4 separate regions of the Mus musculus genome follow, and all the other regions are reported to be linked to region 1. Evidence: microRNA targets listed by miRTarBase, many of them from high-throughput screens and not tested one by one. Region 1 holds a microRNA gene; each other region holds the end of a gene's coding sequence.

The links. Region 1 holds the annotated microRNA mmu-miR-125b-5p (UCCCUGAGACCCUAACUUGUGA, at 3,966-3,987, opposite strand). A microRNA usually pairs through its seed, bases 2 to 8, with sites in the 3' UTR of a target mRNA and lowers its output. Matches are read on the target gene's strand: a 7mer-m8 pairs with bases 2 to 8, a 7mer-A1 pairs with bases 2 to 7 and ends in A, and an 8mer does both.
Region 2: the mRNA of Hif1an is a reported target of mmu-miR-125b-5p. Seed matches in the 3' UTR shown: 7mer-m8 at 7,249-7,255, 7mer-m8 at 6,374-6,380, 7mer-m8 at 3,658-3,664 and 7mer-m8 at 2,529-2,535.
Region 3: miRTarBase lists Trim71 as a target of mmu-miR-125b-5p. Seed matches in the 3' UTR shown: 8mer at 6,028-6,035, 7mer-A1 at 5,084-5,090 and 7mer-A1 at 4,974-4,980.
Region 4: miRTarBase lists Bak1 as a target of mmu-miR-125b-5p. Seed matches in the 3' UTR shown: 8mer at 5,546-5,553.

Annotation. Positions count from the first base shown.
Region 1 is chr16:77,642,131-77,650,265 of GRCm38, reverse strand. Mir125b-2 (microRNA 125b-2) reads right to left here and starts at 3,993; the gene lies at 3,923-3,993.
Region 2 is chr19:44,570,581-44,578,715 of GRCm38, reverse strand. It overlaps Hif1an (hypoxia-inducible factor 1, alpha subunit inhibitor), which reads right to left. Exons shown (of 8, transcript NM_176958.3): 8 at 2,442-7,602. The coding sequence ends at 7,558. Among named protein-coding and RNA genes, the nearest start is that of Hif1an, 12 kb to the right of the region's middle.
Region 3 is chr9:114,506,532-114,514,666 of GRCm38, forward strand. It overlaps Trim71 (tripartite motif-containing 71), which reads right to left. Exons shown (of 4, transcript NM_001042503.2): 4 at 4,737-7,565. The coding sequence ends at 6,114. Among named protein-coding and RNA genes, the nearest start is that of Ccr4, 14 kb to the left of the region's middle.
Region 4 is chr17:27,014,771-27,022,905 of GRCm38, forward strand. It overlaps Bak1 (BCL2-antagonist/killer 1), which reads right to left. Exons shown (of 6, transcript NM_007523.3): 3 at 7,972-8,107; 4 at 7,669-7,812; 5 at 6,397-6,577; 6 at 5,042-6,265. The coding sequence ends at 6,161. It also overlaps a transcript of Ggnbp1 not described here. Among named protein-coding and RNA genes, the nearest start is that of Bak1, 9.8 kb to the right of the region's middle.

The DNA.
Region 1 (8,135 bases):
TTAGAAACAAGGAAAAAGAATTCCACAGAAAATTCACTTGCTCAAACTTGTCAGATACCAGTTACCAATGAGAGAGAATAGGGGAAGAGAGAGATTACAAAACACCGCTTCTACAAAAGCTCCTCAAACACTATTTAACCAAAGGAGGACCCAAGGGCAACAATTCTCACTTACTTGGCTAAGCACATGCTATTCATGATTGGTGTTGTTCTATTTGGTTAGTAATTCACTATGAAGGGAACAAACTTAAAATCAAATTAGTAATATCAGTGGGGCAGATTTTCCACCTTACCAGGATTATTCATTTTGAGGTTGTCATAAAATATTCATGAAATCAGTTGATTGATAAGGAAACAATTTAATCTTAAATTAATCTCAATTACCTTCAGTCTTTACCTGCTTTCAAAGTTTCCACAGGTACAACATCGTATTCAACTTCCCACATAATATGTCTAATACAAACCGACAGGGGAAAAGTGTCACTCAGTGAAAACTGAAGTTAACTTAGTAATAACACAGTATGGGTGACACCAGGAAGCTTGTTCAGTGTGTATGCTGTTTTCATTAAATATTTTGTGGAAATGAACAGAGATACACAGACATACAGACTTGTAGACAGACACACACACACACACACACACACACACACACACACACACACTAATGACTATTTGATCATTGATGGATAAGGACACTAAACATGAAACTGATGCATAGGTTAAAAAATAGCAACTGAATTTCAGCCTACTAATTATGTATTTGCAGAGCTACAGGGAAAAACTTTATTTTCAAATGTTTACAAACTCTCAAGATTTTCTTTTTCTTTTTCTTTTTTTTTTAAACTCATCTATATTTGGAAACTTGCTTGCTTTTTTTCAGATGCAGTCACTTAGGGATCAGTGGGATTTGAATACTGAATTAAAAGTCTACTAACAAATCAGACAAAAGAATCCAGGCATCAAAACTGTGCCTTCCTTGGCTGCCTATGAACAAGGAGGCTGCATTGCATGTGAAAATGGCAAGGAAACTTGAGCTTCAGCCCCCCTTTGTATGTTGCTATACTATAAACTCATCCAAACATGACAGCTTGCAAGGTCATTTGCATATTTAAAATATATTCGTTCAAGGTTAGCACGTGTACCAGCATGCCATTTTGAAGATGAGTTTAAGGTAAGCCCCACCTTTTCTAATTTCATTAATAATTAATTTTTACTGTAATTCCCCTGAGATACTCCTTGGGAGATTCCTCCTTGGGAGATTATGAAATGACTTAAGAATATGTCTACGCTTCTGTTGTGTCAGTGGAAGACTGAAATGTTTAGGAATTTTAAACTGAGAGTGATATTGATCTCGAGAATCCTAAAGGAAAATATAATCATATTAAGATCTGGCAAAATTCCAAATGGTCTCCTTTATGGATTCTAAAATGCTTTAAACATTGTCATGTAGAAAAAAATAAGTCCAGTTCCCCTTGAAAGAGATCTAAACCTAAAAACACAGGTATCACAATATTGTTAGAGGCACACAACGGAGACAAAGGAAAACTACTATTTCATTAGTGTGCAGTAAATGGCTAAGTTGAGTAATGATTTTTATTTCTAAAAAGAATGTGAAGTTGACAGTAATTTAGCAAACAATAAGAGAGAGAGAGAGAGAGAGAGAGAGAGAGAGAGAGAGAGAGAGAGAGAGAGAGAGAGAGAGAGAGAGAGAAACAAGCAGGGGTTAGTCTATGAACTTGGAACAGTGACTTGCTACTTCAAAATTAAAATGTACAAATAAGCTGGTGTCAGAGGAGAGGTGATCCCTCATTTCCAATACACTGAGCAAGCTCACATGGGCAGCAGACAGCTCTTAATGTATGCGTCTGGCTCAGGCTGCTCTCCCAATCCAGAAGCCATCAGATTGCTAATATCACTGCGTTTTGTATGCAAACCACATCATCTTCTCACTCTTTGTTGTTTATCTTTTTGTTTATTTTAAGCTTAGAATGATCTGGTTTTCCAAGTCACATTATGAATCCACAGAACTGCATTATCTGGTGACAGCTGAGAGAGAAATGCAGAGATAGTCACATCCATTCACACACAACATAAAGTAGCTTATGAAACAAAGTCTGATGTACACACACACACACACACACACACACAGACACACACACACACACACACACACCTTTATAGCATAAGACTTGTTTGTGAGTAGTATTCTCACACAACACATGCTTTGCACAGAGAATGTTCAAAATTGCAAGATACATGATGTATATCATATATGATATATGTGATGTTCAGGAGAAGTGAAATTTATTTTAGCATTTTTTTCTCCTATAAAATCTAAGTTAATATATACTACTGTTCATTATCATAGCATAAACAGAAAACCTTTACATTTAAATTTTTTGCTATCATAGCTGACTACTATTATTCCCTAGTTCATTGTGGATTTCAACTGATGAAGTAACACTTGCATATCGTTTATGATTATCATAAAACAGGTGTTAGTAAACACACTCCTCTCTGATCATCTGTGTAAAGCTTCTGTTAAATAGAATCAAGCTTGTGTGATGCTCACAGATACACATACATAGAGTTCTTTGTGATTAAAGAAAAGTTCTGACTTTATATTTACTCCTTTCACATGGAGTCGTAAAACATGCTTATATACACACTTAGATTTTAAAGCTTCTAGATAAATGACAGGGGTGAGGCCAGGAAAGAATCTAAAAAGATTCTTTGTGTTGATACGACATCAACACAAACTTCAACGTAGTCTGTGTTTATGATACTATTATATTATTTTTAGGAAACAATAAAGATGCTTTGCATTTTTTTGATATTTCAAGTAATGAGCAATAGTAACAACCTTAACAAAAACAGAACAAAGACTCCACATGATATCCTAAAATAGATTCATAGGTTTATTTACTAATGGAGAAAACAATTTACGGTGAAACATCAGAGTTAAAACACCAAAGTCACTCTTGCCTGTGTTATGAAAGCCACCTTGTTTTAAGCCTAAATTTCTGCAATGTTACTGTATATTTGGAATAGATTTATTGATTATAGATCAAAAAAAACACATGTTTAATGTATCATTGACTAATAAGTCACACAGGCTATGGATGGAATATTTACTTCTGGTAATGAAAATTCTGATCAAAGCCTGCATCTCAGACGTGTTTTACATGTGAACAAGAGCAGCTGAGTTCATAGGCATTCTCTAATGCTTTATAACACACACAAAGTGAAATGTAGAAATTCAAAAGCACTGTATTTTCCCTAAATATATACTTTGTGAATCTCAGAATAAGGCAGTTGTTCATACATATATACTGTTATGTGTGGGCAAAAGACTAAGGAAACACTGGCTAAAATTACCATGTATAAAACAATATTCTCTCATATTAGTATCAACAAGAATAAGATCAATAAAGAAAACTGTAAATCGTTTCTTTTTCAGGCCTCGAGTATGATTAGAATCTCATTTGACGTAGTCTAAGCCACAGTTCTATGGAAGCATGCATAATTTATTGAAATAACTAATGTATATAATTCTACGCATACAAAAACTTATGAATATAAACAACTCTTACAATGAATCTTCTTCATCTTAAAACACACCCAAAGCGATGTTTATTTTTTTAAAAAGAACTTGTGTTTTAATTCTACTTCTTGTACATATCTCTTACAACACTTTTATACGATAATCACAGTAAATACAAACGCTATTTCTATTCTACTGTGCCATATCTTTAGAGTACCGATTCTGAAGATTGTATTTTGGGGGTGTTGTCATGGTGAAACCCTTGCTGATTAGAAAGAAAACCATTGTTCTTTGCGCCTATGCAGAATCTATGCCTGTTCTTTTGTTCTGGTGGTTTATGCCGAGAATCAATAAGGTCCCAAGCTGCTGGTATCCCTCCGCCTAGGTCCCAAGAACCTGACTTGTGATGTTACTAAAATACCTCACAAGTTAGGGTCTCAGGGACTAGGCAAAGTCTCGTGTGATGCAGGAGAATTCTTCTTCCAGGTAAACGGACAGCTTGGGAATTAGAGTTGGGTTCATTTATTTTTAATCTTCTAAATACTAATTGAAACACACAGACAGAAACATAAGTAACACATGAAAGTCAAAGATGAGCTGAATAATCAGGACGGCCACCTATAGATCAGAACTTACAGTAATGTGGGGCATGAAAAACAAAGCAGACAATGGACATTTAAGAATCACCCCATTCTATCCAAAGAAGGAGACAAAAATGGGTTAAAATATGCTCCTTGCAGATTTTTACAGCAACACCCACTTCTATTACACTAAAAAAGGATTATATGCCAGTTAATGGGGCCCTAATTGATATTTTGCTTCTATTGAAGTTTTATATATCACAACTGTTACTGTGGGCCCAGGATATACAACACTTCAAACTCTCATTTAAATTATTACAGATAAGATTTAAACAAAAACTTTGAATATGTCATAATTTAATACCTATTAATGTTGATTTTTCTCTTTAAATATGCAAACTATTCAGACAGCAAATATTTTCATGCACACTTCATAGTTATTTGAACAAGACCACCTAACAAGCTTTAACTTAAAATCCTGGCAACATAGTAAGAAAACAAAAAAAGATCCTTTACTTTGAATAATTACATTATATAGTTCAATACTTTTGAAAATACACAGTCTCAATCCTGACTATTCATCAAATTCTCTCCCATCTTTTCGCCTTGTTGTGAAAGAGCAGAATCTGGACTTTAGGAATGATCCAAGGTTTAGTAGCACAGAATGCAGGGCAAAACAATCACACTTAGCACAGCATAAAACTCCTGGCCACAGAAGTGGAATCTGGTTCTTCAGAAGTGGTTGATCTTAAAAGGGAAAAGCAGGGGGGTTAGAAAAGGAGAGAGGGGGAGAGAGAGAGAGAGAGAGAGAGAGAGAGAGAGAGAGAGAGAGAGAGAGAGAGAGAGAGAGAGAGAAATGGAATGATTTAGAGTGTTTTCCTCTAGGCAGGTGAACCATCCATTTCCAGGAAGCTGCAAGGAAAGCTATGCTGAACAAAATATTTGCTAAGTGTTCCCCTCCCCCACCCTAGTACCACACCCCTTTCTAACCACCACCCCCCTTCACCCCTGCCCAGATCTTTACTTTGCCTTGTAAGACTTAAGCATTCTGTTCCGTGATGTAATGCATCATTATATAAGATCTCTTTCTGTTTATCATTTGATTTCCCATACTGAATCACTTATGGCCCCAAATAAATAGTTTTATAGAAGAAAAAAAAAAGATAAAACCAAAACCAAAAGAAACAACCAAAAAGCAGCATTCACAAAAAGCAAAGAGGAAAAAAAATAAAATTAAATAAAACAAAACAGTACTTAGATAAAAGTCCATGCTTTTTCCTTAAAACTGAATATGGCTTTACAATTTTTGACCATAGCATTCAACCAATTATTAGAATGAAAAATCTCACCCCTCCATAAATATGACATTAACATAATTATACCACCCCCATCACGGAGACCCATCCTCCTTAGGGAATACATCTGATGCTCCAAAGATGGAAATCAGTCAGATTTTAGTTGCTCTCCAACGTACCTTTGCTTCTCACTGACTGACTGGCTTTTACCCTCCACGCACTCACACGCCACCCCCTCCCCTCGGCTAGACACGGATGCCCGAGCGAGCACGCGCGCGCGCACAGGCACACAGACACACGGAGAGAGTCGGGCTAGCATCTGATGCTGACTCAGAGCGCTTCTGTGTGCAAGGGGTGGCGGCGGCTGGTATTTTCACTGCGCTCATCATTAACATTAACGCACAGTCTGGCATCCACCCTCTCCCAGACCTGCTGGACTGCGGCATTTGCATGACGCTGTCACTCTAGCTTCTGCAGGTCAGATGATGGAAGGAAATGGGGAGAAAGAGAGAGAGAGGGAGAGAGCGAATTAAAAAAGAAAAGAAAAAAAAGCCTTGAGACTCTCCTAAGAAATGCCTTCGTTTTGTCCTTATTTTTCCACCTTTTCTACTTCCTCTGTGGCTGTCTCTCAGCTGTTTGACATCTTCCCGGAAGAAAATGCCTTGTGCTTCAATGAGCCAGTCGCCAGTTAGTCCTCCCCTCCCTTCCCTCCAATCCCCACCCTTTTCCCTGCTAATCAATAAGACAGATCTGCAAGAGCAGTGTGGAGACAGACTCAGGCAGAGTCTCGCCCGGGTCCCCACCTAAGGAAGCAGCCAGGCCGGCTCACACACACGTGACACAGAAAAAAAAAAATACCATCAGTTTCTTAACAGCCTTAGACTTTATTCTGCGGTTTCATTTTCTTTCCCCCTTTGACTGAAGAAAGGGCAAAAGAAAGTCTATCCGTTTTTATGTGAAGACCCCACCCAGCAGCAGACACCCGTACATCCATACGCCCATAAGGCTGGGTGTGTAGAGATCAATTCTTTCTAGTCAAATAAATAAATACATAAATAAATAAATAAAATCTAAAAGCTAGGATTTTAATCGAAGTGATAGCTTCATGTTTTTATTAGCTATGCTCTCATTTCATAGGAATTAAAAGACAAGACTTGCCAAGATCTGACTCATCAACGGGATTTAAACTGTGTTGAAATGCTAACTTGGTGGAATGAGATCGACTAGCTGGATATTAGTATATTTTAATTTTAAAGACTTTTAAAAATAATAATACCTGACTGTTCGTGGGTATGTACATCGTAAAAGTGTTCTGGTTCAGCATATTGTGATTGAATATGTAGATTTAAATAAAAGGTGGATCCCTGTACATCTGTACACTATTACTAAAGAGCCAAAACCTTTGGCCATGATTGTGCTGGTGTTTCACAACATAGAAGACACCAGTTTCTTTGTTCTCCAGTCTCTCCCTGGGATGACAGTATGGTAAACTGCCACCTTCCCTTTCTACACTAGCAGTGTTTCTGAATTACTTGCCGGGCAGACTTAGCTATTGGTGACTCTACAGAATACAAAAAAGCATACAAAAGGGAAGGAACTATCACCATCCTCCAGCCAATGCTGGCTGGTGCTGCAAATATGTCAGTTTACTCTCATAGGCAGTCCCAGCATGCAATGCGGCACGCACGACCAAGGAAGGTAGCAGTTTGGCAACAGATCTGTGGCAACAATTGCGGAGAACAACCAACCGCTCGCTGAGGTTCCAAAGAAAACATCACAGGATCCATAAAGAGATGCAAGTAGAAATCAGCTCTTACAGGCTTCTGATTTGAAAGAAAAAAAAAAAAAAGGAAAAGGAAACAGGGGTGGGGCGGGGTGAGGTGGGCTGGGGTGGGGGTGGGGGCCAGCAAATCTCAAGCACAAAGACCAGCGGAAAAAGGAAAAAAAAAAAAAAAAAAAAGGAAAAGAATGTCCACAGGAAGGAAACAGGATGTTGAGTTCGTACTTTCAGAAAAAAAGAAAAAAAAGGCATGAAGGAAAAGGATGAGAGAGGTAGGCAGAAAAAGAGATGGATGGAATAGAGACCCAGAGAAAGAAAGATGGGAAGGAGCAGAGCCGCCATGCTGGTTGTTAATTGCCACAGAGAATATGAAGCATGATTTCTGAGTCTGGAGACTGCAAAGGACTCGAGTCCAGAATCGGATGAAAAGTTGAAATAAAGACAGACACCCACAGGTTAGCTTAGCACAAGTGTCTGCCAGTGGCAGCAAGAAGCCTGCAGAACTTGTCCTGTTTTTGCGTCTAGCTTATTGCCTTGATCAGACTTTATTTTGATTTTTTAACTCTCTTACATATGTGAATTCTTTAGGCTGCCTTTGTCCCCCCATATAGTTACCTACAATGCTCTTGATAAATGAGTGTCATGACTTTGCTATGGCTATCAGATCTAACAGGTTGACGATTTTAATAATTGAGTGTGTGCTTACAGCTACTGGCCACTGATATCCCGCTCTGTAGACCTTGTGCATGAACATCTCACTTGCAGCTCTTGGGACAAGATACAAGATACAAGGCACCTTCAACTTTTCTCCTTAATCGATGGTATTTCTTTCTTTACATTCATACAAGCATACATGGCTTAACTCCACAGAAAGCACAAAATATATTAACTGAGGGATTTAGAAAATCAAAGCAATAAACATTGAAAGGAAAATAA
Region 2 (8,135 bases), not on the chromosome of region 1:
AGGACCAAAGAGCCACCCATCCTGGGCTATAGTCACCACTCCTGACACGCAAGTTCTCCCCACCCAGCATCTGTGCCCTGCACACACACGCACATCTTGCCCCTTCAACAGGTCTGGTCTCCACCCCTGCTCCCTGAGATCCTGTCCTGGCAGAACCATCTTTGAGCCCAGCTCTGGCTTATGGATCTCCAGTCCCCTCTACCACCTATGGTCTCCATGTTTCTTTCTTCATCTCAAGTATAGCTCTTCTGTGTGAATTCTTTGAGAACTGTACTTGAAAACTCAGGACAGAGTAAGAAAAGTTCTGCTATCAGCAGTTTTTCTCCCTGCACCCACAAAACACTACAGTTTTTGTAAGAAAACACATTTCCCAAGTGCCCTCCCTGAACTGGGTCTGAGGTTCGCCTCACAAACCCTCAATGTTGCAAGCTACCTGTTATTTCACAGACCAAACCAGGAAGCTGGGGCCCAGAGAGGTTAATTAAGGTTAGAGTTAGGAAGTGGTTAAGTGGGGATTCAGACACATGGGTGGCATTCACAGCAGTGTATCATGCAAGTCCCTGGGAGAGCAACAGCTATGCTGACTATAAAGGACAGGCAGAAGTGAAATTTCAAAGATGTGCAGAAGCAACATCTTCTAGCCTGGGGTGATCTGCCTCCAGACTAGCACAACAGCCTATGACAACTTCGTCTGCACCACTGTGGCCCTACTGTGACACCCCTCCCACATCACTGTCTCCTATCCCCTGACTACTGTCACCAGCTGGTACAAACCTTCAAGCAATTATTCCTGAAGAGAGGAAAAGAGGATGTATTGATTTCACAGTTCTGTATTTATATAGTGTGGAAAATGAATTCTATAAAATCACTGCCTGATGGCAATGGTGACAAGGTCCTTGAGAGAGCTGGAAGTCACTGACGAGGGGAAGGGAGCCTTGAGCAGGAGTCGATGCTCAACCCTGGGCCCTGCTCAGGTGCTGAGAACCAGGCACACCTTAAGACTAGCCACAGGATCTAGCTGGGAAGCCAGATGGAGAAGAGATCCACTCTGGGAAGGACAGACACCTGAACCCCTGGAGGCTAAGGCGGATGACTGGGTCTCGCCACCATTGTCCCTCTGCTAAGCCTTTCTTTACCTACCTTGTTTTGTGTAACCATCACAAAGTATGCAGTTATGAAGAGGTCAAGTCCAGGCACTTGTCATTTCTCCAAAGTCACACAGAATGGCGGACCCAGTGTGCATTTGTCATTTCTCAACCTCGCCCCTGCACCATACTACACACTATATACTCAAACAGGATAAAAAAACCTGGTCCACACACACAGCGATTCTGGGTTAGTGTACAGAGCTTCCCTAAAGACAGGACTGACCCTGATGACCAAGTGAACAGGTCTTAAGCAAAAAGAATCAGTAAATTTGGCTGGTCCAATAGGGAAGATAGCCAAGGCCCGAGTTACATAAAAGAAGTGACTGCAGGTGACTCTAAATGCCCTGCTGCTCAGAGACACCATAAGACAAAGGGAGGCAGCCAGGAGATCAGTGGGATCCCATTGTGGGGGGTGCGGGGAACCCCACGCACCCAAGTAAATTTCAGGCTGAAGCCTGAGTAACCCAGTTAGCGGGCTAGGCTGAACATTGAGGACAGCAGGGCACTTTAAATGGCCCAATCCAATCTATCTGCCCTTCACAATGAACGCAGCCCAGCAACCAAACGGATTGCCAGATTTCTGTGACTAACCAAAGGGTTTTCTTCTTTTCGTGTTACTACACCTAGTCTTTTTCTCTGGCACTCTCTGGACTAAGTATAAGAGAAAGCTGGGTACAAACATGCCTTCTACCTTTTCTGCAACCCAAGGAGCTACATGTCTTCCAGTTATCAGTTCAGGCTGTAGCGTTCCATAGAAGGCCTACTCTACTGTGAATATCCAAGCTGAGTGAAGTGCTTGTCCAGGGCATCCTTAACTTCCCTACTGAGCCAAGAGCACCCAGTGCAAGGGACTAGCACAGTGCCTGGACAGAAGCACTTAACAGTTAGTCAACACCCACCCATTTTCTTCAATTGGAATTCCCTATGCCCTCGAGCAATCTTAACACATTTGTCATTTAAACATGCTGAATGTCATAAAAGTGAGCCACAGGGCCTGAGCTGTCACTCTCTTCAGAGGAATTTAGAAGGGAGTGGCGACAGGTGCCAGTGACAGTTGGGAGACAGGCATGAGCAGGGGTAGGTGCTCTGTATGTGGGAGGCAGTAGCTTCCCCGGGTGGGATGAGGGGCCACTGAGCTCCCACCATGTGTCAGTGAGGGGCTCTGACACCAGGCGGCAGTGAGCAGGAGCCTGGCTGACCGGGCAGAAGAGGCATGCATGGGTTTAGAGAGGCTGAGTCGCTGGAAATCGTACACATCACTGAAGCCAAGTTTTTTAAATAAGTCACATACTATAAACCACCACCACCACAGCCGTTTATTAAGTGCTTGCCAGGCACTGTGCTAAAGCTTTACAGACATTATTTCAGTTCATCCAGCAACCCTGAGGTAGATATTTTCAAACCCCCACCCCCACAAGTCATTATAGGAAAGGAAACCGAGACTCGGGTTCAATCAATCAACCAAGGTCAAACCCAGCTGGTAAGTAGCAAGCTAGAAATGTACCAAAGGGACCAGACCCCAGACACATGCTTTTAAACACTAGACTGTCTTCCCTTGAAAATTAAGGACTTGCATTCCTCCCCGAAATGAGAACAGACTTTAGGTGAAGAGGGCAGGCAGTTTTAGAGTAACTTCTTGAACCAACTACTATACTCAGTCTCTTGAGGCATGGAGAGTCATCGGTGAGAAGCTGACCACCGGGCCCTTTCTCTTGTCCACCACCCCAGCCTTCTGCATGGGAGGCCTCCGCTCTCGCACCACACCACACCACTCAACGTGCTGCTTCCCTTCTAGCAAGCTCAGGAACGAAGGGGTCTGTCAAACTTGGTGACACTGAGCCAAAGACCTGAGAGAAATTAGGAGGCATTCAGAAAATGCCCCTCATACCTGAACTGCTGGACCCTAAGGCACAAGGACACACTCATGGAAAACAGAGCTCGCTCCTGCCACCCTGCTTTCCCAAGCCTGGCCTCTTTCTCCAAGTCTCTCACCAAGTCCTTCACCTCTCCAAGTTCCTCCCCAGTTGTCTCCGAGGCTTCGCTAACCACAGGCCCATGGGCCTTGAGGACACCAGTTTCTGAGCCTCTGTTCCTCCAGAAACGTCCCCAAAGTGCTCAATGGGGCTCCAGTCAGGACCCTATGGGTCTATAATTAAACAGAGCTGGCTGAAGAAAAGGTAGGAAGGATGGCCATGGTAAGACAACGGCCCAGCATGGAAAGACTGAGGAATGGTAAGTGGACAGAGCAGACGGACATAGCAACTCAGCAGGGACACAGCAACAGAGCTACCTGAGGTCAGAAGTGAAGCAGGGGCAGGGACAGACCCTGTGGAGAGGGATCCTCCAGCCAGGCTGCCCAGCACTTGGAGCCAGAGAGCGTCTTTGAGGAAAAGAGCCTTGGTAAAGAGGCCACTGAGAGCCTAGTTAGGAGAAAGCTCAAGGATCCTCTTAAAGATGGGTCAAGAGGACACCAAGAGAAACAGGAACTGGAAAGGCCTGGCCTCTACAACCCTGAGCTATCCCCATCCCCACCCCTGGCCATGTAGGAAAAACTGGTCAGAGGGTCACTGCTGGTAGCCCTTGCTAAATTCTGCACCAAGTTTTGAAGGATGAAAGACAACAGAGGTAGGGAACTTACCAAGGACTGAGATAGCACCATCCTTGAGAAGTTCACATTATGAAAGGAGACAGAGGAGCCCCCTCCAAACCTTGGGGGGGCTGGGGTCTAAGGAACACACTAATGGTGAGGACCACTACTTGGTACAGACTAATATTCTTAGGCGTTTGAAGGGATGGGGGTGAGTGGTGAGGTAACTTGCAAACACTGGAAGATCTACGCTGGACTCTCCATTTTTCAATAGCCACATCACTGGGTCACTGAGCCAGGAACCTCAGTGTTCCCCACAGCAATGGCTCGCTGATCCAGAGTAAGACAACGCTGCTGAGAGGCCGAGTCTCCTCCCAGACAGCCTGTGCTGGACCAGCTCTTCCTCACACCCCTCCTTGCACATACCTAGGCTCTGCTACTCTTCATACGGTTTCCTTTCCAACTTCCACCAGTGTCTGGGGTTTGATGAAGCTCAGGCTTCCCACACAAGCTCAAGTGCTTCGAAGTGACAGATCCCTGTCACAGGTGGGGCGCAACAGTGCTGACTACTACAGAGATCCTTCCTGTAACTGAGCACACGCAGTAACCAGCCTACCTACCTTCAACTGCGAGGGCTCAGGCAGAAAGATGTCTGTTTGCAAACCCACCTCAAGCTGGGCCTGGACTCCAGTCTATGAAGGCATACAAACTCCACCCACACTTGTGGGAACTCCAAAAGGGTACCTGGCCCACAAGATTCTGGGGTCAGAAATAGGGAGTGTCTCCCCATACTAGGTTGGCCCAATAGTAAGGAGCCTTCCCCTCTCTGTCTCCTAACAGATTCAGATTAATGATGGCTCATTCCTAATTGTCAAATTTCTTTTCCTTCATCCTGTGTCTAATCACCAGTGACAGAAACCATTACGCAAATGAGAGCAGACGACTTCCCCCAACTGTTCGCGTTGGTAAAAACCTTGTAATTTAGAGCTCTGATTTGTAGGGGAAGCTGGTCTCCCCCAGGCATCCTGGGCATCTGCTCAACTGATGCCCAGAACAGCCCCTCCTCCACCCCATAACTCTAACCCCCCAGCAAATATTTGACTTCACAAAACAGTAGTTTTCACTGTACTGCTGGTATAAACACGAGAGCCTGCAAGATGGCTGACCCCTGGACAAGCCCAGGTCTCCACCTTCCTTGGCACGTCTGACTCCCAGGCTGTTGGCTAGAATGGGTACACAATAGTGATGCCTGCTCTGCTGCAAGTACAACTGGAGCCTCAACAGCCCTAGGGTTGAGACCCTAGCCTAGGTGAGTCCCTGCTTGCCATCCCCAGGAGGAAGTGGCCCAGCAGAATATGAATCGGGTTACCAGAGCTTCCTCTCAGCATGCAGAGGTGTGGTGAGAGGAGCTACAGGACCTACAGCACCCCTTTCCCCCGCAGGGCCGAAGCTCACTCTTCTGCTTCTTCCCAGAACCCTTAGCTTGTTAAGATGGCTTTCTAGGCAGCTTTTCCATGTCTCTAGCTGAACCCCCAAAGCCTTTCACCCTTCCACACCCTCTTGCCTGAGTCTACCTGCACACTCTCTAGGGAACAAGGCTTGAGGTGAGGTAGAGAACCAACAGCATTTGGAAGAAATGGAGGAGCAGGGAGTAGTGGGTTTATAGCTAAATGGCATTAGGTTTGCTCTTGACTACCACGCAGCACTGTGAGGGACAGAGCTAGAAACAACAGGTACACATCAGGTGTCTAAGACCAGGAACAGCCATGACATCATCCCAGCATCAGGGCCAATCCTGTGATGGTGCCTAAGCTCACCTTCTCTCTCGCTGCCCTCAGCCACCCTAGGTCAGACCTGTGAGAGCAGAGTTATACTGAAGGGTCAACCGAGCAGATCCAGACTCCCTGCCACACATCCCAGACACCTTTGAGGGCAGAGCCAGGACCATAGATCTGCGGAGAATGAAAATCCGCCACGGTGGCCAAACTAATACCACTCTGCCTCCCTCTTCTGCTGCATCCCTCGTTCCCAAAAGAGATGGAGGCATGCGTTTGCCGCGATCACACTGCCCAGCACGGGCTGTATTTAAAGAGCCATACTCAAGAAGGTACCAAGTCTGCGCAACCACACTGCAGAGCCCAGAGTGGGGGCTAGAGCTCCCGCCCCTAAACGCACACGGGTGCACAAGCATTCGCCTGCATCTGTTCAGTCCATGGGGCGCTGTAAGCTGAGCTTCAGGGCTAAGACCCACAGCTTGAACACGGGAGGTCAAATCTACAGGGAAGGGGACTAAAAGGTGGCAAAGAAAAGAATAAAATCAGACTTCCAACTCCAATTTTAGAGAAAAAAGGTTGACAGAGAAGGAAGGGACTTGAGGTAAGTGGACACGGGGCCACCACTCTGCCAAGCTGCTGGGGCCCCATTCCCTCTTAACAGATACAAATGATTGCGCTCTGTGTTGTGTAACACAGAGCTATAAGCTGCAGCCCCGAGGAGGGCTCCCATAAACAGCTACCAACAGAAAAGTAAATTCTATCTCCAAGCTCTCCCAGCTCTACTCCAGCTCACATGCGACGCTTTGTTGGGTCTGGCAGAGGCGCTGGCTCTAAGAGGCAAGAGGACATTTTTTTTCCCCTTGCCCTGAGGTGGATGAAAGGTATTGAGTTAGCTGCCTAAGTCTGACCCCATTTCATCTACTCAGCCAGGAAGCTCAGCAGGAGCAGGGATGTGGTTCAGACAGGGAAAGACACAGGACTGGGAGGCTTGAGCCAGTCAGCTTTAGGTAGGCTGCAGTAAGATCTGACCAAGACGGGATGGCTAAAATCCGAGTGTAAAAGCTCTAGGCTGAGTCAGGCAGTATCTGGGGTTCACGCTGTACTGCCACACTGGACAATGTTAGCAGTTGAGAACCTTAGTAAGCAAGAAGGATGGCAAGTGTGATCACACATGCATACAAGTGTGCAGATGTGTACACACACATGCAGAGGTTCATACCCCTCGAGCCCAAAAAAGTCAGAGCTAGAATCCCTCATTGCAGCACAGGGACAGGAGCTGGTACTGAAGAGAACGGCTGCAAATGCCTGTATTTGGACATATGCACAATCCTGGTTTCAGGTCCCCAAGTTTTCCTTCTATGTATGGCTTAAGCATGTAGTTCTCAACTGGAATCTTATCTAATCCTCTTCCACTAGAAGGCTACCTCCCAAAGATAAGCCTCCTTCTCAATGTCCCCATTAGGGCCCCAGCAGTTATTGCCACCTGGTTTGTAGCCTGACTATGCTGCAAAAACTGGCAGAAGGCAGACTCATGTGCAGAGTCATTCTGGCACCACAGCCCAGATGTTGTAGGGACACAGGAGCATCTCTCCTCCCAGGCTGAGGCACTGAGGCTTCAGGAGACAGGAGCTGAGAGCCAGAAGTGACATCCTGACCCAGGAAGAGGGAACAAGGAACAGATACATGCATGTGTGTGTATACACACATGCATATGCACACATGTACACACACACACACACCCTGAGGTTAACAGACTAACACAGACATGATTACAACCAGAAGCTGGGACTCCACACACTAAATGCAGGACTTCAGGGGGGCAGAGGGAAGGTTCTGGGGCTCAAGAGGCAAGGGTGAGAAACCTTTCCAAATGGGAGTGGAGTCAACTACCCTGCCTTGCCTCAGACACCTGCCTCCAGGGCCATGGCAAGAGTCCAGTCCATTAAGTGCAGCGTGCAATACTAGTGCTTGGAGTGTCCTGTCCTCATCAACGAAGCATGTGGACAGGATAGCAGTCACCTGACAGGAGGCCTTGACCTCTGGCAGGTTAGTTGTAACGGCCTTTAATCATGGTGTTCAACAAAGGCCCCACCTGTAAAGAGATATGAGAAGCCAATCAGAACTGCCTATCTCCCGATCCTGGCGTAGGACTGGGTGTACCTAGAGACATGCAATTTTCAGCTAAGGGCAGGGACAAATGCTCTTCAGTTCTTGTAAGTTTTCTAATCAACTTTCCTGAATGTCAACTTAATATTCTATGACAGTGACCCTTTGGAGGTCCAGTTTCTTTTCCTCCCCTTTTATAATACCCCGTGTATCTGTAAGCAGCACCCATCAAACAGGAAATGGTCTGAGGAGCCAATAACCTCCAAACACCGAAAAGTGTGTCTGCGGGCTTCTCCAATGAGCCTGAAGAATCTTAAATGCTTCTCCATCCTCAACAAAAGGCCACCTGCAGTTAGTGCTAGTGCTCTCAACCCCACAGGCACCTCTGATGCTGAGACGAACCACAGGCAGGAGGTAAGGCAAGTAAAATGCACACCTCCCTCTTTTACCAATGGACCGTAATGTACCTGGGGATGAAGCAGGACTCAGCACTACCTAGAGCAGCCCTGGCCCAGCTGG
Region 3 (8,135 bases), not on the chromosome of region 1:
TCTACCTAGCACCTGCCTCCCTGCCCCCAAAATCAGGACCCACCAAGAGATGAATTGCTTAGTTTCCTGGGGGGTCACAGCGCAGCCCTCAAATGGAGCCTTCTCCATCAGGCCAAGATGAGGTTAAAAGGCCAGAACCCACCAGAAGAAAGGAAGCAGCAGTGGCAGCTGGTGAGTCACACAGCCACTTACCCTCTGGACAGACAGCTGTTACTTTCCTTCCGTGGGAAACTAAAGGACAGGAATATAGAGCCTGTATAAATACAGACACACACACAGCCATTTACAAGTGTGTATGTGTATGTGTGTGTGATGGTGTGAATGTAGAGGTCAGATGACAAACTGTGGGAGTTGGTTCTCTTGCTCTACCAGGTCCTGGGAACTCACTCTCTTCATCAAGCATCTTACAGACATGCTGTCCGACCGACCCTAGTCTGTTTTGTTCTGTTTTCTTCCTAAAAGAAAAACACTAGCAACACCAGTTTAGCACGGGTGCTCATGCGAAGTCCCGGGACAGCCAGACCCCTGAGTCCCCCTGCCCCCACCAGGAGTGGTACTTTCATACCTAATCCAGATGGAAAAAAATCACACGGACACCAAGTTTTCATGGGACAACCCTCTGTTTATTTGATTAAACAAAAATAAAATAAGCTGCATAGGGACACTTTTAAAGTCCAAAGAGACACCGGCTTTGTTTTAAGGCTGCAGTAGCTGATACAGCATCTCCTTGCTACTCCCCCAGCCTTCTCTGTGGACCACAGAGATACATTCAGAAGCCGCTTAGCTCACAGGAGGTTTGGAACGCTCTTCCACTGGCTCTTCACCCGCTCTCGTTGCCCGTCATGCCTGCGGCTGGCAATAGTAACATTTAAGGTTTTAAAGGTAAAAGCCCAACAAGGGGAGGAAGGGGCTTGCAAAAATAAAATAAAAAAAAAAAAAAAATACACTTTTGCCTTGAGGTTTAGGGGGAAATCCCCTTAGCCACCCAGTGCCGTGACAAGCTCCGAGAAATGCCACCACAATCCCAAAAGGGGCAGAGACACCGAGGGCTCTGCTGCCAGGGGAGGCGGTGTGTTCCTTCAATCAGCTTGTCCAGCGGAAGACACTTAACTTAGTCATCCTGGCATCAGGCAATGCCTCTGCGGTGTGCATTCACTTCTCTTAAACAAAAAGACCGAAGTGGGCCGTGTATTCTACAGTTACATAAAAGTTAAAGCTGCTGCTTCTCTTTTTTGGCTGACCAGGCATGAGAGCGCTAATGGACTGTATCAAACAAGATCCATTAAAACAAAACCGAACAACCAACCCTCCCACCCACAACTACTACACGTAACATGCTAGTTAAACATCGCTAAACCACCCACCCTCACCGGCAGACGTTAAGGGAAAAGGGGGAAAGACATTTATCACCCTAAAAAAACAAGAGAGCCCCACCCATACATGTGAGCAGTCTCCCTCTAAAGGAGAGCTACAGACTGCTAGGAGCACCAAGAACCAAAGCTGGTTACAGCACAAGTAAACGCGTTGCTGCCAGGGGCGCCAACATTCAGCCAGTGTGCTCTGAGATAGGTAAGGTACGACCTGAGCTCCTGAGTTAATACAATCATTAAAAGGGGTCTAAGACCAATGCAGATACAAAACAAACATTTAGAACCATTACTGGTTAAATGATGATGGAAAAACAGCCGTCCAGGCTGGATTGCTGACCCGTAACACCAGTTTTAAAAATAGACATTATTGAGGTATTTCTTCATGGTGACATTTATTTATAAACCCAAAACCCGATTAGTCCCGTGGTCTGCAGGATGCGCTCTCTCATCCAGGTAGACCAGAAGGTTACTGGGGAGGGACAAACAGGGAGAAAGTTAACAGTCCTGATAATGTGCTTCTCAATTTATCAAGTATTTAACAAACAAGAACAAAGGGAGGAGAGGGGGAACAACAAGTGTCAAAGTGTTGCCTTTGGTAGGAAGAACAAATCAAAACAAAAAGCAATACACACGTCACCGGTCACTGTAGACGGGCTACACCGCCGTGACGGGAGATTCTGCTGGGCACAGACAGCTTCAAATACAATCATGAAGTCAGAGACTCTCATTCCCTTCAAATACCTCATGCTTCCCACTAGACCTGTAGAGTTCCCACTAAAAGGGCACGCCTACAGACGCTCCTAACAGATAAAACGGCTTTCTCTTGAAGAGAAGAGAGACCTAAAGGCCTTTAATGGTGGAAGGTTCTCCATCCGGTCAGAGAAGCAGCTCCTACCGCTGTCTGCGGAACAGGATTTGTGGCAGGGAAAGCCAGACTGGCTGAGAACTACTTGGGTGAACGACGACACTGACCAGACAGCTCTTATTCAAGGTCAAACGTTTGTCTAAGAAATCAATCCTGCATCCCTGAACATCCCTGCATCTAGAGAGGGTCTCCCACATCCACACCCTCCCCACTGGATTAATACTAGCCCTTTTAAGACCCATCCGGTGCCGACGTGAGGTAGACAACTTTTTGCCAAAATTGAGGTAGAAAATCCATACTAAACAAAATCAGTGTGGTTAGGGGCGGTGTCCTGCCCTGTGACCCTGGCTCACACGAAGCCAGAGAAAGCCCCAGTCCTATGTAACTGTACACACATGATAGCATCATTTTCATACAGCCCCAGACTGTCAGAACCTCACTAGGAGAGATGTTCTAAATAAATACATTTTGGCACCACTGCGTGTGTGTGTATATTACACACACAGACACACACACAGACACACACACACGCGCACACACACGTCTTAAACAACAGGGAAAACAAGCCTAGAACTTTGGCATTCCTTTTAATACCTACCAGAACACAGCAACCTTAGAATCTTCCAAACCCAAGAAGACACACAGACAAGACAGTAATTGTGCTGCTTCAAGCTTAAAAGACTTCCCAACTCAAATGATTAAGCTTTGGCTTAACTACACCGAGACACTCTGGACCATCCAAAGTGTCTTCATCCCGGCAGCCTCTATGGCCCAACACTGTCCAGTTCTGTTTAGGGTACCCTTGTGTGCTTCCCCAGGTAAGTTAGACTTAACAAGGGTATTGATTGGAGGAAGTTTAGTGCACTAGGGGAACAGCCTAGACTACTAGGCTCAAACCAAGATAAGGAGTTACCTGCCAGCCATAACGGAGTACAGGTTTGGAGACTTCTCATGAACAAAAGTGATAGATTGGTGATGACCTTCAGATGATTATAGTTTTGGAATGTTAGGCAGGTGGCAACCAGGTGGTTAATACTCAAACTTAAGAAACTTCACTTCCAATGGGAATCTCCTGGTACCCACCCTCACCAGCTCCTGCCAGCTCCTGCCAGTTCCTGCCAGCCCCTGCCACCTGACCAGGGACCGCTACCCGTCAGTCGCTCACCGCAGTGACAGAAGGTTTCCGGCCAGCCAGCACCCACGGTGTCTCCTTCCTGAATCTCTTTCCTGTCGTACCTCAGAACTGGCTGCAGGTGCTCACCAAACATGGCTGGTGTCATGATATGGATCAGTCCATATCAAGGTACACTCTCCAAAGTGCTTAGCACCAATTCCCCCACCGGCTAGGAGTCCAATCTCAGGCGGCCACAATAAGCCACTTGTTTTAAAAACAAAAGTTCTCCAACTATGATCACAATTCCTTAGAAGCCAGCCCTTACACTGATCTGGATATAGAAAGCCACAGACCTCTAAGAACACATCTGCTGTGCTCTAAGCCCACACTGGTCTATCCATGTACTGATCAAGACCCAACCACAAGATGGGAACCTGGGCCGAGTTATCAGATCCTAAGTAAAATGTCAAGTATTTTGTTAGTCACCAGAAAAAAAGTTCTCACTGAACAGTCAGTCAGTCAATATTCCTGCCACAGGAGAGCTGTGAGGAGGAACACTGAACATGACTTCAATTTAGCATTGAAAATCGGCTTTCCCCAGCCACAATTAAAATCAGGTTTCTGAGAAGGTTGTCAAGATTCATTTGTTCAATTAGTGTCATTAAGAATGTAAAGCTAGTTCTATTGAGTGTTTAAAGGCAGTTTAAGATTGGGGGGGGGGGGGAGCGGGGGGGGGGCGGGGTGAGGCCTCCTGGGTTGTCCTGTTCTACAAAATTTTTAAAAATCAGTTTAACGCTTAAGTGACATAATAAAGGCTAAAGGGATATATAAACTGGGGAAGGACCCACTATTAAATTTTAAAAGGAGCTTGTAACCCTCTTTCACATCCCGAGAAACATGGAGATCAGCAGTTGAAGCTACCTTCGGGATTCCTTGATTGTGTACTATTCTCCCTGCTGAGACGGCCCCCCGCCCCCCAGCACCCGCCGCCACACTCAGATCACCCCGAAATCCTGAAATTCAAGTCATGTGAATGTGAAGGAACGTCGTAGCTCACACAGGCAAACTGAGCATCCCAAAGCAATTCGACTGAGCCCTTATCCTGTCCCCACCGCCTCTTCCTCTGTGGAGTTCCTGCCGTGCAATGGGGGTCAGAAACTGGGTTTTAGATCTATGTTGGGCAGTCTTCTGTCCTCTTTCAAATCTGGTCTGAGCTCAGTAGTGAGAATACAGAGAACCAGAGAACCGGGATGGGCCCTCATTCTCAGAGGTGAATGTCAAGAAGGCCCACTCTGTGGCTTACAATACATCAGACTTCAATGGGATGGGAGCCACAGGCCCCCAAGTTTCTATTCTTTGGTACAGGTTTTTTTCTTTTTTTTTTTTCTTTTTTTAAATAAAATAAAATTAAAAAAAAAAAAAGACATATACTGTGTCCTACACTTCCTGTTGGGTGGTTTGGTTTGTAAATCCTTTACATTCAAAGGCCTTTGGGGGAGGAACGGGGCTTTGTGTTAACCTTGAGGTCTGCCTCCACTCAGACTTAGGGAAGGTTCCTGAGAAACAGACCTGAGCCAAGGGTTAGGGAGTGAGGTGCTCCCACCAGTCAGACAATCTTCTACATTCCCTGAACTTCCAAAGCAGGAAAAAACATTGTGCTTCTCAAATCAAAGCTATCCCTTTGCCTACCACACCCTCACACATAGAGACGAGGTCCCCCGCCCTCCTGAACAGTCCCTGATGTGGGGGTGCCTCACTTCTCCAGCACCCCCCACTTCTGTGGCACCCTGGTCCACATCTGAAAAGCCCCTCTCTCTCTGAGAACAAGGTTAACTTATTTTCTTATACCTAAGTCTTTATAACAAACAACAAAAACACAGACACGTAACCTTTGCGAACACTTTCAACCTAGAGTCCTGAGCTAAATCGAGTTTCTTAGCAAACTGGGAAGAAATTTGCTTGGGATGTCTTGTGTCAAGTCCAGCTTTTCTCCTCAAGCAAAGATGGCTTTGAAACACAAACATGCACGCGTGTGCACACACACACTCCCACACACCCACCCTTCTTTACCAGATACAAAGATGAGACACCCGAAAATATGAATGGTCTGCTTTTCTAGGCTAGCAAGCCACAGCCATATCTCCTAGGGATGAGATGTCAGACACACTGAGGTAAACAGAGAAAAGCCCTGTTGCATCGATAAAAAAGAAAAGAGCAAACCACACACAACCTAACCCCACATAAACACAGTATTCTCAAGAACACAAATACACTACAATTATGAATTTTAAATCCTATCTTTCCAACATCTTATACTTCTCTTTTTTACTTAGTAGTTTTTGGGTTTCCTTGGCTCAATCTACAAAATGCATGCACCCCACCATATGCTTCCAGTGCCCTCAAGGTTGCAGGACCGCTGTCCTGTGCCTCCTAGGCCTTCAGGAGGGAAGAGGATGTGAGCCAAGAGGCTTGCCAGAGAGGGAAATGCAAAGAGTTGAGGTAGATAGAAATTATCACTTCACAGGCTCAAGCCCTGCACAGAGGAGAATTACATTCATCTGTAAAAAAAAAAAAAAAAAAAAAATTTAAGCTGAGGTAGGACTTAGGCAATGTTGTACTTTTGTTCTTAAAAAAAAAAAAATAATAAAAATAAAGGGGGGGAAAAAGAAAAAGAAATATCCCTGAGACGATTTCTTCTTTGAAATTCAAAAATGAGAGACACACACATGCACACCCTAAACACAGAAAACCCCAGAAGACACAATTAGAAGATGAGGATTCGATTGTTGCCAAAGTCCACCACGACGATCAATCCATCCGGGGTGACCGCGATACCTGAGGGGCGGTCCATCTGCCCGAAGCCACTCCCTTGAGCACCAAACTTGCACAGGAAGCTGCCATTGGCCTCAAACATCTGCACGCGGTGATTTCTGGAATCGGCTACGATGATTCTCCCTTCCTGGTCCACAGCCACACCCTGTGGTCGCAGGAACTGCCCATTGCCCGAGCCCTCCGAACCCAAGAAGCGGGCAGATTGGCAATCAGGGTGAATAACCAGAAGCCGGTGGTTGTTGAAGTCGGTGACTACCAGGTGACCTTCATTGTTGAAAGCCACGCCCCGTGGAGAGTCGAAGTGCTTCCAGAGAGATCCCTCGAAGCCGTACTTGTTCAGGAAGACCCCGTCCGGTCCGAACAACTGGATGCGATGATTCCGGGTGTCTGAAACGAGGATCTTGCCCTCAGAATTCACTGCTACATCCCACGGGTAGTTAAACTGCCCGTTCTTGGTGCCTTTCTCACCAAACTTAAGAAGGAACTGGCCCTCGAAGGTGAAGATCTGAATGCGATGATTGTCTTTGTCGGCCACTATGATCCTGCGGGAGGCGTCACAAGCCACCCCAGCCGGTCGGTCAAACTGCCCAGGACGAGACCCAAGGGTACCAAACTTGTGGTGGAAGGAACCACAGGGCTTAAACACCTGGATTCTGTTATTGCTTCGGTCAGCCACTATGATGAAACCCTCCTTATCAACACTCACGCCCCAGGGCCTGCAGAGCTTGCCCTCCCCGTCACCTTCACTGCCGAAGCTCAGCCCGGGGAGCCCGATGCCCACGTAGCTGCGGCCCGACTTGACCACGACCTTGAAGGGGCTGTTCTCTATATGCTGATTGTACAATGTCACCGACACCAAGTGCTCACCCTCAAGCTGGGGCCTGTAGCTCACTATGTAAGTACCATTCTGCTGGTCGCTCACTTCTGCACCAAACAGGTTTCCGTCGGGGCCGAGGACCACAACTGACATCAGGTCACCTCCCGAATGGCGGGGCTCACCATCGTGGTCGTAGCCCATGACAGTGAAAGAGGCCACCTTCCCCTGAAGGGCACGCTTGATGCCATCTCCTGTAGCCTTCGTGAGCGGGGCGAAGGCCCCGCTGCTGACAAAGCCAATAGACTTGAGGGCGAGGTACAGGGCCTGGTCAGGGGGCGTGAACATAATGCGGTCATCTTCTTGGGGCTGCAGGAGGCCTCGGATGGTCTTGAGCTCCTGCACCTGGGCCAGCATCCGGTCTCGGGCCAGCAGGATGTCCAGGGCGCGGCCCTCTTCCAGGACCTGCTGCACGGCGCTGATGGTGCTCTCCAGCTTGCTGAGACTCTGCCGCAGCTTCTCCACCTGCAGGAACAGAGACTTCGCCTTCACCTGCCGGATCTTCTCCACCTGAGGAGGGAGGAAAGAGACGCTTAGAACCAAGCACAGAGAGCAGAGTGTGGGGAACCCACGGCGATCTCGAGTGGAGGTGGAGATGGGAGATTATCACCTGACAAACAGAACAATTCCTTCCCTCCTTTCTCTTTTCTGCATTCAAACCCTAACAGACCCATCTGAGGTAGGCTGCCCCAGCCCCTGAGGTAAAAAGACCAGCTCACACACTTTGCTGAGGGGGAACCATCACCTCTTAGTGCTCTTAAGCTGAGAGCTACAGAAAACCGACTATGGACACAGGGGACGACTTTTCTGAGGTCTGGGCTTAAAAATTAAAGAAATTTAATTAAAAAAAAAGATTTATTTATTTATTTTATGTGTTTGAGTACATGCGTCTTCAGACACACCAGAAGAGGGCATCTGATCCCATTAGAGAAGGCTATGAGCCACCATGTGGTTGCTGGGTCTTGAACTCAGGACCTCTGGAAGAGCAGTCAGTGCTCTTAACCACTGAGCCATCTCTCCAGCCCCAAAATTATTTTAACTGTGCGTGTGCATGAGTGCAGGTGCCCAGAGGCCAGAGGC
Region 4 (8,135 bases), not on the chromosome of region 1:
TTGACTATGTAATCAGTTCACAGCCGGATTGAGTAGCATAAAGCCCTGTTGTGTTTGACAACGATGACAATGATGACAACGATGATGATGACGACGACGACGACGACGACCAGTCTAGCTTTGTCCTAATAGAAAGTCACCACTATTAACACTATTAGTTCCATTCCAATGGCAAAGGAAGAAACTGAGGCAGGAGAGGAAGGAAAAATGAGGACATGGGAAGGGAAAGCCACCTAAACAGTGACAGATAAAGAGAATCTCATAAACAGGCAAACAGGATTACTTTAACCCCTGCACTAAGAGGCAGAGGCAGGTGGATTTCTATGAGTTCAAGGTCAGCCTGGTCTACATAGAGACCCTGTATCAAAAACAAAGAGAAAAAGATTAAGAATCCTGTTAAAGCTAGGCAGTGGTGGCGCATGCCTTTAATCCCAGCACTCAGGAGGCAGAGGCAAGTGGATTTCTGTGTTCGAGGCCAGCCTGGTCTACAAAGTGAGTTCCAGGACAGCCAGGGCTATACAGAGAAACCCTAACTCGAAAAACCAAAAAAGAAAAAAAAAAAAAAAAAGAATCCTGTTGAGGGCTGACATGCTCAGTGGATAGAGGCACCAGCTGTAGAAACTGCACACCATACTCTGATACCGAGTAATGGAAAGAAAGGTGTCCTTTGACTTCCACATGTCTTGATTGCATGTATGTCTCCCCTGTAAGTGATACATATAACAACTTTTTATTTGATCCTTTGAAGAATACAACTTTAAAATTATCGAAGTTATGTAAGTAGCTGTTGATGTGACATTTTTGTTAGCTTGGTTTTCTGAGACAGGGTTTCTCTGTGTAGCCCTGGCTGTCCTGGAACTCACTCTTGTAGACCAGGCTGGCCTCGAACTCAGAAATCCGCCTGCCTCTGCCTCCCAAGTGTTGGGATCAAAGGCGTGCACCTCCATTGCCCGGCTGGTGTGACATGTTAAAAGGACAGTTTCTCAGGGCTGGACAGATGGTTCAGAGGTTAAAGGCATTTGCTAATCTTGGAAAGAACTTCAGTTAGGTTCCCAGTACCCATGTTGGGCAGTTTAGAGCCAGTTCCAGGAGATCTGATGCCCTCTTCTACACCAACACACACACACACACACACACACACACACACTCATATGTGCTTAATTAAAAAAAAATCAGACCATAGTCGGGTGTGATGGCACATGCCTTTAATCCCAGCACTCAGTCCCAGCCGGCAGGAACACACAGATCTCTATGAGTTCAAGGCCAGGCTAGTGTACATCATTATACAGTCCACACAGTGAGGCCCTGTCTCAAAAGTGAGCACCATCACCGTCACCAACAGTGAAACAGCTGCGGATATAGCCTACACAGTTGAATGATGGTCTTAATTTTTTTTTTCTTTTGGTTTTTATTTTGTTGGTTTTGGTCTTTTGAGTCAGGGTTTCTTTGTGTAGCCTTGCCTCTATTGGAACTATCACAATAAACCAGGACTCCAACTCAGAGATCTGCCTGCCTCTGCATCTTGAGTGCTGGGATGAAAGTTTTGGGTCACCACCGCCAGACAACAGTAAAACATTTTTCTAGTATTCATGAGACCCTGTGTGGAATTCCCCAACATTGAGAAAAAAATCTTGGCAGAGCCTGGTGGGCCATGCCTTTAATCTAAGATCCTGTCTCCAAAATAAACAAACAAATAAAAATGTAAACAAAAAAAATCTGTTTCCAAGGCTGGACCTGTCTAAAGTCTCAATTCCCAGTACTTAGAGGTAGAGGCAAGAAGATAAAGAATTCAAGATCATTTTTGACACAGCAAGTTCAAGGCCACATTGTACCCTGTTCTCTCTCTCTCCTGATATATATATATATAAATTATAAATTTAAAGTCATACTTTCATAAATTCTTAAGTTTAACTTGCATATGCTGATGTCCTATTTAGAATTCTCATACATTTTGTATACTAACATATACCATTTGTGTAATGAAAGAGGTATAACTTGTCCTTTGATTGGTGTTCAGTTAGCCTGTGGGCCGACATACGAATTTGCTTGAACATCACCCACATCATTTACAAACTTAGCTAATTAGGTTCTTGTAAATATTTAAACTCTGTTTACAAATTTAACATACTTGATTTTATTTTCCAAGCACACATCCCTCACGGGACACATTTACAAGTCAAATGAGAAAAAGTTTTAGGCACTGAAACATTTTCAAAGAACTCTATCATTCGCTGTTTAGTTTATGTATACGTGGTGTGAGCTGCACGTGTGGAGGTCAGAGGGCAATTATGGAGAATCCTGTGGTTCCCAGGGGTGGGTCTCAGGGCATTGTGCTCTCCAGCGGGCGTCTTTACCGGCCCTAATTTTATTTTTTAATTACGTATACATGCGTGCTTGGTGGTCTGGTATGTGCACACAAAGCAGATGTCCTTGGAATCCAGAGAGAGGGCATCGGATCCAGTCGAGTTGGAACTAGAGACTGCTATAAGCTGCCTGTTGTGGGCGCTGGGAACTGAACTCAGATCTCTGCCAGAGCAGTCACTGCTCATAACTGCTGGGTCATCTCTGCAGCTACGGCCTTTTTGAAACAGGGACTCACACCCACCAAGCACTTGCATTAGTATCTAGTTCTTTACCTTTTCAGTCCTTGGGCTGGAATCCTCTACATTTTAAGTATATACAGTAGTGGGTGGATGTAGAGGACTCTGAGTAATTTGGGGGAAGGGAGGGCATTTTCCAATTAAACTGTTGGGATAGATACCCAATGACCTAAAATGTGCCCCCCCCCCTTTTTTTTGAGACGGGGCTCTCAGCGTAGCTTAGGCTGACCTCAAACTCGCTATGAAATCCAGATGTATTTGGTGTAAAGAAGGTACAATTTCAGGAGACCCACAAATGTTGAAGCGTAGGAGTGTGTGCTCTAGATTTAACCGCGGCACCTGCAGGGTCCATCTGCGCCCAGCAGCCTCTCAGCCTCTCAGCTTCTTTCTTACGCTGCCTCTCCTAACTTCAATCGCCCTCTGGTTTGGGCAGCTCCAGAAAGTAACTGGGGGCCAGGTTTGGGGTAACCTCATCTTGTTAGGTGTGGAGGGGGCCAGAGAAGTCAAAGCTCCAAACCTGGGGCTCACCTTCTTTGCAGATGGAGATGACTGACTCCTAACCTTTGGTTTCCAAATTCGAGAATGGCTAGAACAACTTAGCTCCCTGGCTCCGCCCACAAAGGGGCACGCATGCGCGCATGCGTGTGAAGCCTCACCGGCCACCTTGAACTCGGGCAGCCCACTCACCTTCAGACTGTGGTCTCAACGGGGAAGACCAGAGAGTTGCCTCGACGTTGTTCACCTAAATCCGTGGCGGGCATGTGCTCACGAGCCCGGCGACCCTCTCGTCCTGCCTCCAGGTAAAACCTCGAGCTAGTAACCTTATGGAAAGTTCTAGCTCGATGCTTTTGTTAACCACGTGACTCTAAAAAGGCACTTGCCTTTCTAGGAGGTGGGAGTCTAACGCACCCACCCATCACATATCATTCCAGTATCAAAAAGTTCTCAGTATACACCATAGTACACGGCGCCTTAAGTGTTAGCTTTGAGCTCAGCATGGCGGTTCCAAACATTTTTCCAGCCCCCAGTACCTGTGGGCACACAGAAGGCAGGGAGAGGTCAGAGCCAACCCAGCCCAGTGGAAGTGCAGCTTCACCAGGCCCCTTGGACCGGCAGGTCTTGTGATGGGCTGGGGAGGGTGTCAGAAACACAAACCGGGGTGCCCAGGGCTAAAGAGAAAAAGGAATCTTTGTGAATTTCGGAACGTTTTAACGCCCCCAGCTTGTTATTTTTATCCACCCCCACCCCCACCCCCGGCTGCCTCTCTGTAGGGGCTCCCATGCAACATCAAAACTCCTAGGATCAAAAAAGCCCAGCGTGTGTGTGTGTGTGTGTGTGTGTGTGTGTGTGTGTGTGTGTGTCTGTAGGGACATAGGGAATCTGGATCTGGAACATTATGTCCCAGGCAGAGTGTGAAAAGGGGCCTTAAGGGCCGGCGTGGGCTGTGGCTCCTGTAGAGAGGTAGCCTTTGGGGTCCCTGGAGTGGTGCACTTTCCCATTCAGCTCCCCAGCCAAGGGATCCCTGACTTTCCTTGCGGTCAGAAGCTGCCTGGACTACAAAGAAATAAGAGAGCCATGAGATGTTTAGCGGGCCTGGCAACGAGTTTGCTTTCCAGGTCCCAAATGGTAGGAGAGAACTGATTTACTGATTTCCACTCAGTGCCATCTGACTACACACACACACACACACACACACACACACACACACACACAGTGGCACGTGTAGCCCTACCATACGTGCACAGAAAAAAAAAAAAAAGGAATTACATGGGACTGGAGAGATGGCTCAGCAGTTAAGAGCACTGACTGCTCTTCCTGAGGTCCCTAGTTCAAATTCCAGCAACCACATGGTGGCTCACAACCATTTATAATGAGATCTGATGCCCTCTTCTGGTGTGTCTGAAGACAGCTAGTGTACTTACATTAAATAAATAAATAAGGCAGGCGTAGTAGTGCACACCTTTAATCCCAGCACTCGGGAGGCAGAGATAGGCAGATTTCTGAGTTCGAGGCCAGCCTGGTCTACAAAGTGAGCTCCAGGACAGCCAGGGCTATACAGAGAAACCCTGTCTCAAAAAACCTAAATAAATAAATAAATAACTGATGTAAGGGGTGAAGAGCCGGGGTCATTACAAAGGATTGGTTGGGATTTGTCCTGGTTTTCCAACCATCTGCAGATTCATAACCCAGGATCTTTTTTTTCTATTTTTTTTTAACTTCTCACTTTGGCCCCGCTCACTCCAGCCCAAAGATTTAAGAGCAGTCAGTGCTCTTAACTGCTGAGCCGTCTCTCCAGCCCCAACTGCAGCTTCATACTTCAGGATCTTGCGATCTCGGCATGAGAACCTATGTAGCGCGGAGCTGGGATTACAGCAGTGTGTCCAGCTTCCTGCAGTCTAACATAGGACAGTCAGTGGAGTGTAAAGATGCCAGGCGAGGTGTTGGGGGCATTGCACAGTTTATTTCCAGACACAGAGCACCCTCTGCCTCCCCCTCTTCCCCGATACATTTGGCTTAATCAAAACTTCTCACCCCTATGTTGTGCAAGACAGAGAAAAACACCCACCCCACCCAACCCGAGGAGGACCTAGGCAGACAAGGAGTGAAGGTGGGGTTCAAGTAATCATAGGTTCCGGGGAGGAACTGCACCCAGGTCCACAGTTGCTTCTGCTGGAGTAGTTCTCTAGTGTGGACACCTCCAAAGAGTGCCCACCCCCTCCCCTGTCATAGTGGCTGAGTCTGAGGCTCTGTCCGTCCGTCTGTCAGGAAGGCCTCCGCCCCAGCAGGCAGGCTCACCTGAGAGCCCTGGGGAGAAAGTGGCGTCTTCCCCTACCCACTAGGTTGGGAGCACGGGTCAGGAAGGACACAGGATTGGAGAGCCTGATGGATGTGTTCAGACAGCTGTGGTCTGAACTCTCACCTCTGCCCTCACTCTGGGCTCAGAATCCCTGAGAGTCCAGCCGCCAAGGCAAAAATGGATGGATTGGGGTAGGAGATAGGAGGGGAGGGGGTGTGGGGGGTAGGGTTGGGGAAATGGACGATGAGGTGGGGGTGAAGTAGGTCATGCAGTCTCCTACAGTTGGTCTTGGGAGCCAATGTAGGGAGGGCAAGGATTGTGCTCAGGTCTCTTCTCAAGGGCTGACCTTCCAAAGTAGCAGGAGTGTTGGGAACACAGGTTCGAACCACCAGTCCCCAAGCCCTCCATGTTCTGACTTTGGGCACAGTGGAGAAAAAGGGTGGATTGTATCTAAAGGGTAGTATAAAAACAAACCTAGTTTTCTGGGAATTAGTGGCCCAGCCTCTCCATCCCCCACCCACCCCCCCCAGTGCGTCAGTCAGTGCCTCTGAGACAGGATGGGGTTCAGTAGCACCATGCAATGTTGGGGTATTGATGACCCCTGGGCGGTGGCTCTCCAAATCAGGGGTGCCTGTTTGCTAAAGCGTCTTTGCCCTGGGGAGGAAGGAGAGGACTGTTGGGGTGGGGGGTAGGGGGTGGGGTAGGGAGAGAGGTTTAGTCCAGCCAGGCACGTGGCTGGGGCCCCAGTGGGGCTCCCCGGGAGTCATGATCTGAAGAATCTGTGTACCACGAATTGGCCCAACAGAACCACACCAAAAATCACCATTACGGTCAGGATGGGGTCTCTACGAAAATTCAGGGCTGCCACCTGTCAGGAAAAAAAAACAGGGTGGGTTATAGTGGCCTGGCCGGGCAGCCCCTGCAGCAGGGGGGTGGGGGGTGGGGGTAGGGGGTGTGATGGGGGGTGGGGGGTGGGACATCCCAAGCCCAGGCACTCACCCAACCGCCTCTCTGTGCGATCCATCTGGCGATGTAATGATGCAGTATGATATCAGCCAAAAAGCAGGTCACCTGGCCCAGGAAGCCGGTCAAACCACGCTGGTAGACGTACAGGGCCAGACGGTAGCCAAAGCCCAGGAGAGCCACCACGCGGCCCCAGCTGATGCCACTCTTAAATAGGCTGTGGGCAAAGAGTTTTTTCATAAGTCACGGAGAGCCTGCCTTGGGAGACCCGGTCCTTTCCTTCTTCCTCTACCCGACCTCCACCCCTCCACCACCAGATGGGAAGCTACACGGCTAAGCTGCCAGGACAGGTCAGAAAGTCTGCCTTGGCCTGGCTGCCCGTCAGGAAGAGCCTGGCTTTCTAGGAAAGGAGACAGCCTAGTGAGGGAGGGGTGATGTGATGAGCTGGCTGCATGGCGAGGGGGGGGGGGAGAAGGAAGGGTGGGGGGAGCTGAGAGGGAAGAGCGACCAGATGAGGTGACAGGGAGATTACCTGTGCATGTTGCTGCTGGCCTGGCAGCCCGAGGGACAGCAGAGAGAAAAGGACAGAAGAGATTACGACAGATCCCCAAATCACAGGGGACGGAGTGGGGCCTGAGGACAGGGACAGGATGTGCCACCTCTGTACTTAAACTTGCCGCCTGCTTCTACATCAACTACCACCTTGAGATCTACCCTGACGCTGACTCCCTGGTGTAAGGAAAGGACATTGCTCGGTGGCACATGATTGATCCTAGCACTTGCAAGGCCGAAGCTGGATGATAAGAGTTCAAGGCCAGCCAGGGCTACATGAGACTTAATGGGGCTGGAGAGCTGGCTCAGCGGTTAGCAATACTGGCTGCTCTTTCAGAAGACCTGGTTTCAATTCTCAGCACCCACATGGTGGCTCATGACGGTCTGTAAACTCTAGCTCCAGCCTTCTGGCCCCATTGGGCACTAGGCACGCAGGTTGGTGCGCACATATACATGCACGCTAAACACCCAGACACAGAAGATAAAGATCAGACAACAGAACTCAAGCCAACTTGGATGTGGCGTCAAAGCAGGGACACTGACTTCCGGTCCTTTCCCTGTTCCCTAGGTTTCACAGTGGTAGCCTATGGCAGGCTGGGATGCGGTATCAGGTGGCCTCTTAGAAGCCATCCAGTTGCAATTGGGCTGGCGGAAGTTGGTATGTTCACCCTGACACCATTCCTCAGCTGGGGAGCCCATCCTATGGAGCGTCTGAGTCTGCGTCATGCGTCTGCGGGGTGGAGGATGGGCTGGTACCTGGAGGCGATCTTGGTGAAGAGTTCGTAGGCATTCCCGGCTGTGGGCTGAAGCTGTTCTAGTAAATTCTGGAACTCTGTGTCGTAGCGCCGGTTAATATCATCTCCGATGAGAGCAAGCTGCCGACCCACCTGACCCAAGATGCTGTAGGGATGAGCATCAGTCAGAGAGCTGGAATTCTGCACTGGGAACCGGGCTCAGGGCAGAGGGGCGCCTCCATGGGGTGGGGGCAGACTTTCCACCTAGCCCTGTCTGAAGGTCTGATAGGGCTCCCAGGACTTGTACCCCAAGGCTGGAGCTTACCTGTTGGGTTCCAGGGGCAAGTTGTCCATCTCGGGGTTGGCAGGGGCGGCCGCCCCCTGGGTCTCCTGTTCCTGCTGGTGGAGGTAAAAAACGTAGCTTCGAAAGACCTCCTCTGTGTCCTGGGCAACCTGCTGTTCTGCAGATCAGAACTGGGGGTCAGCAAA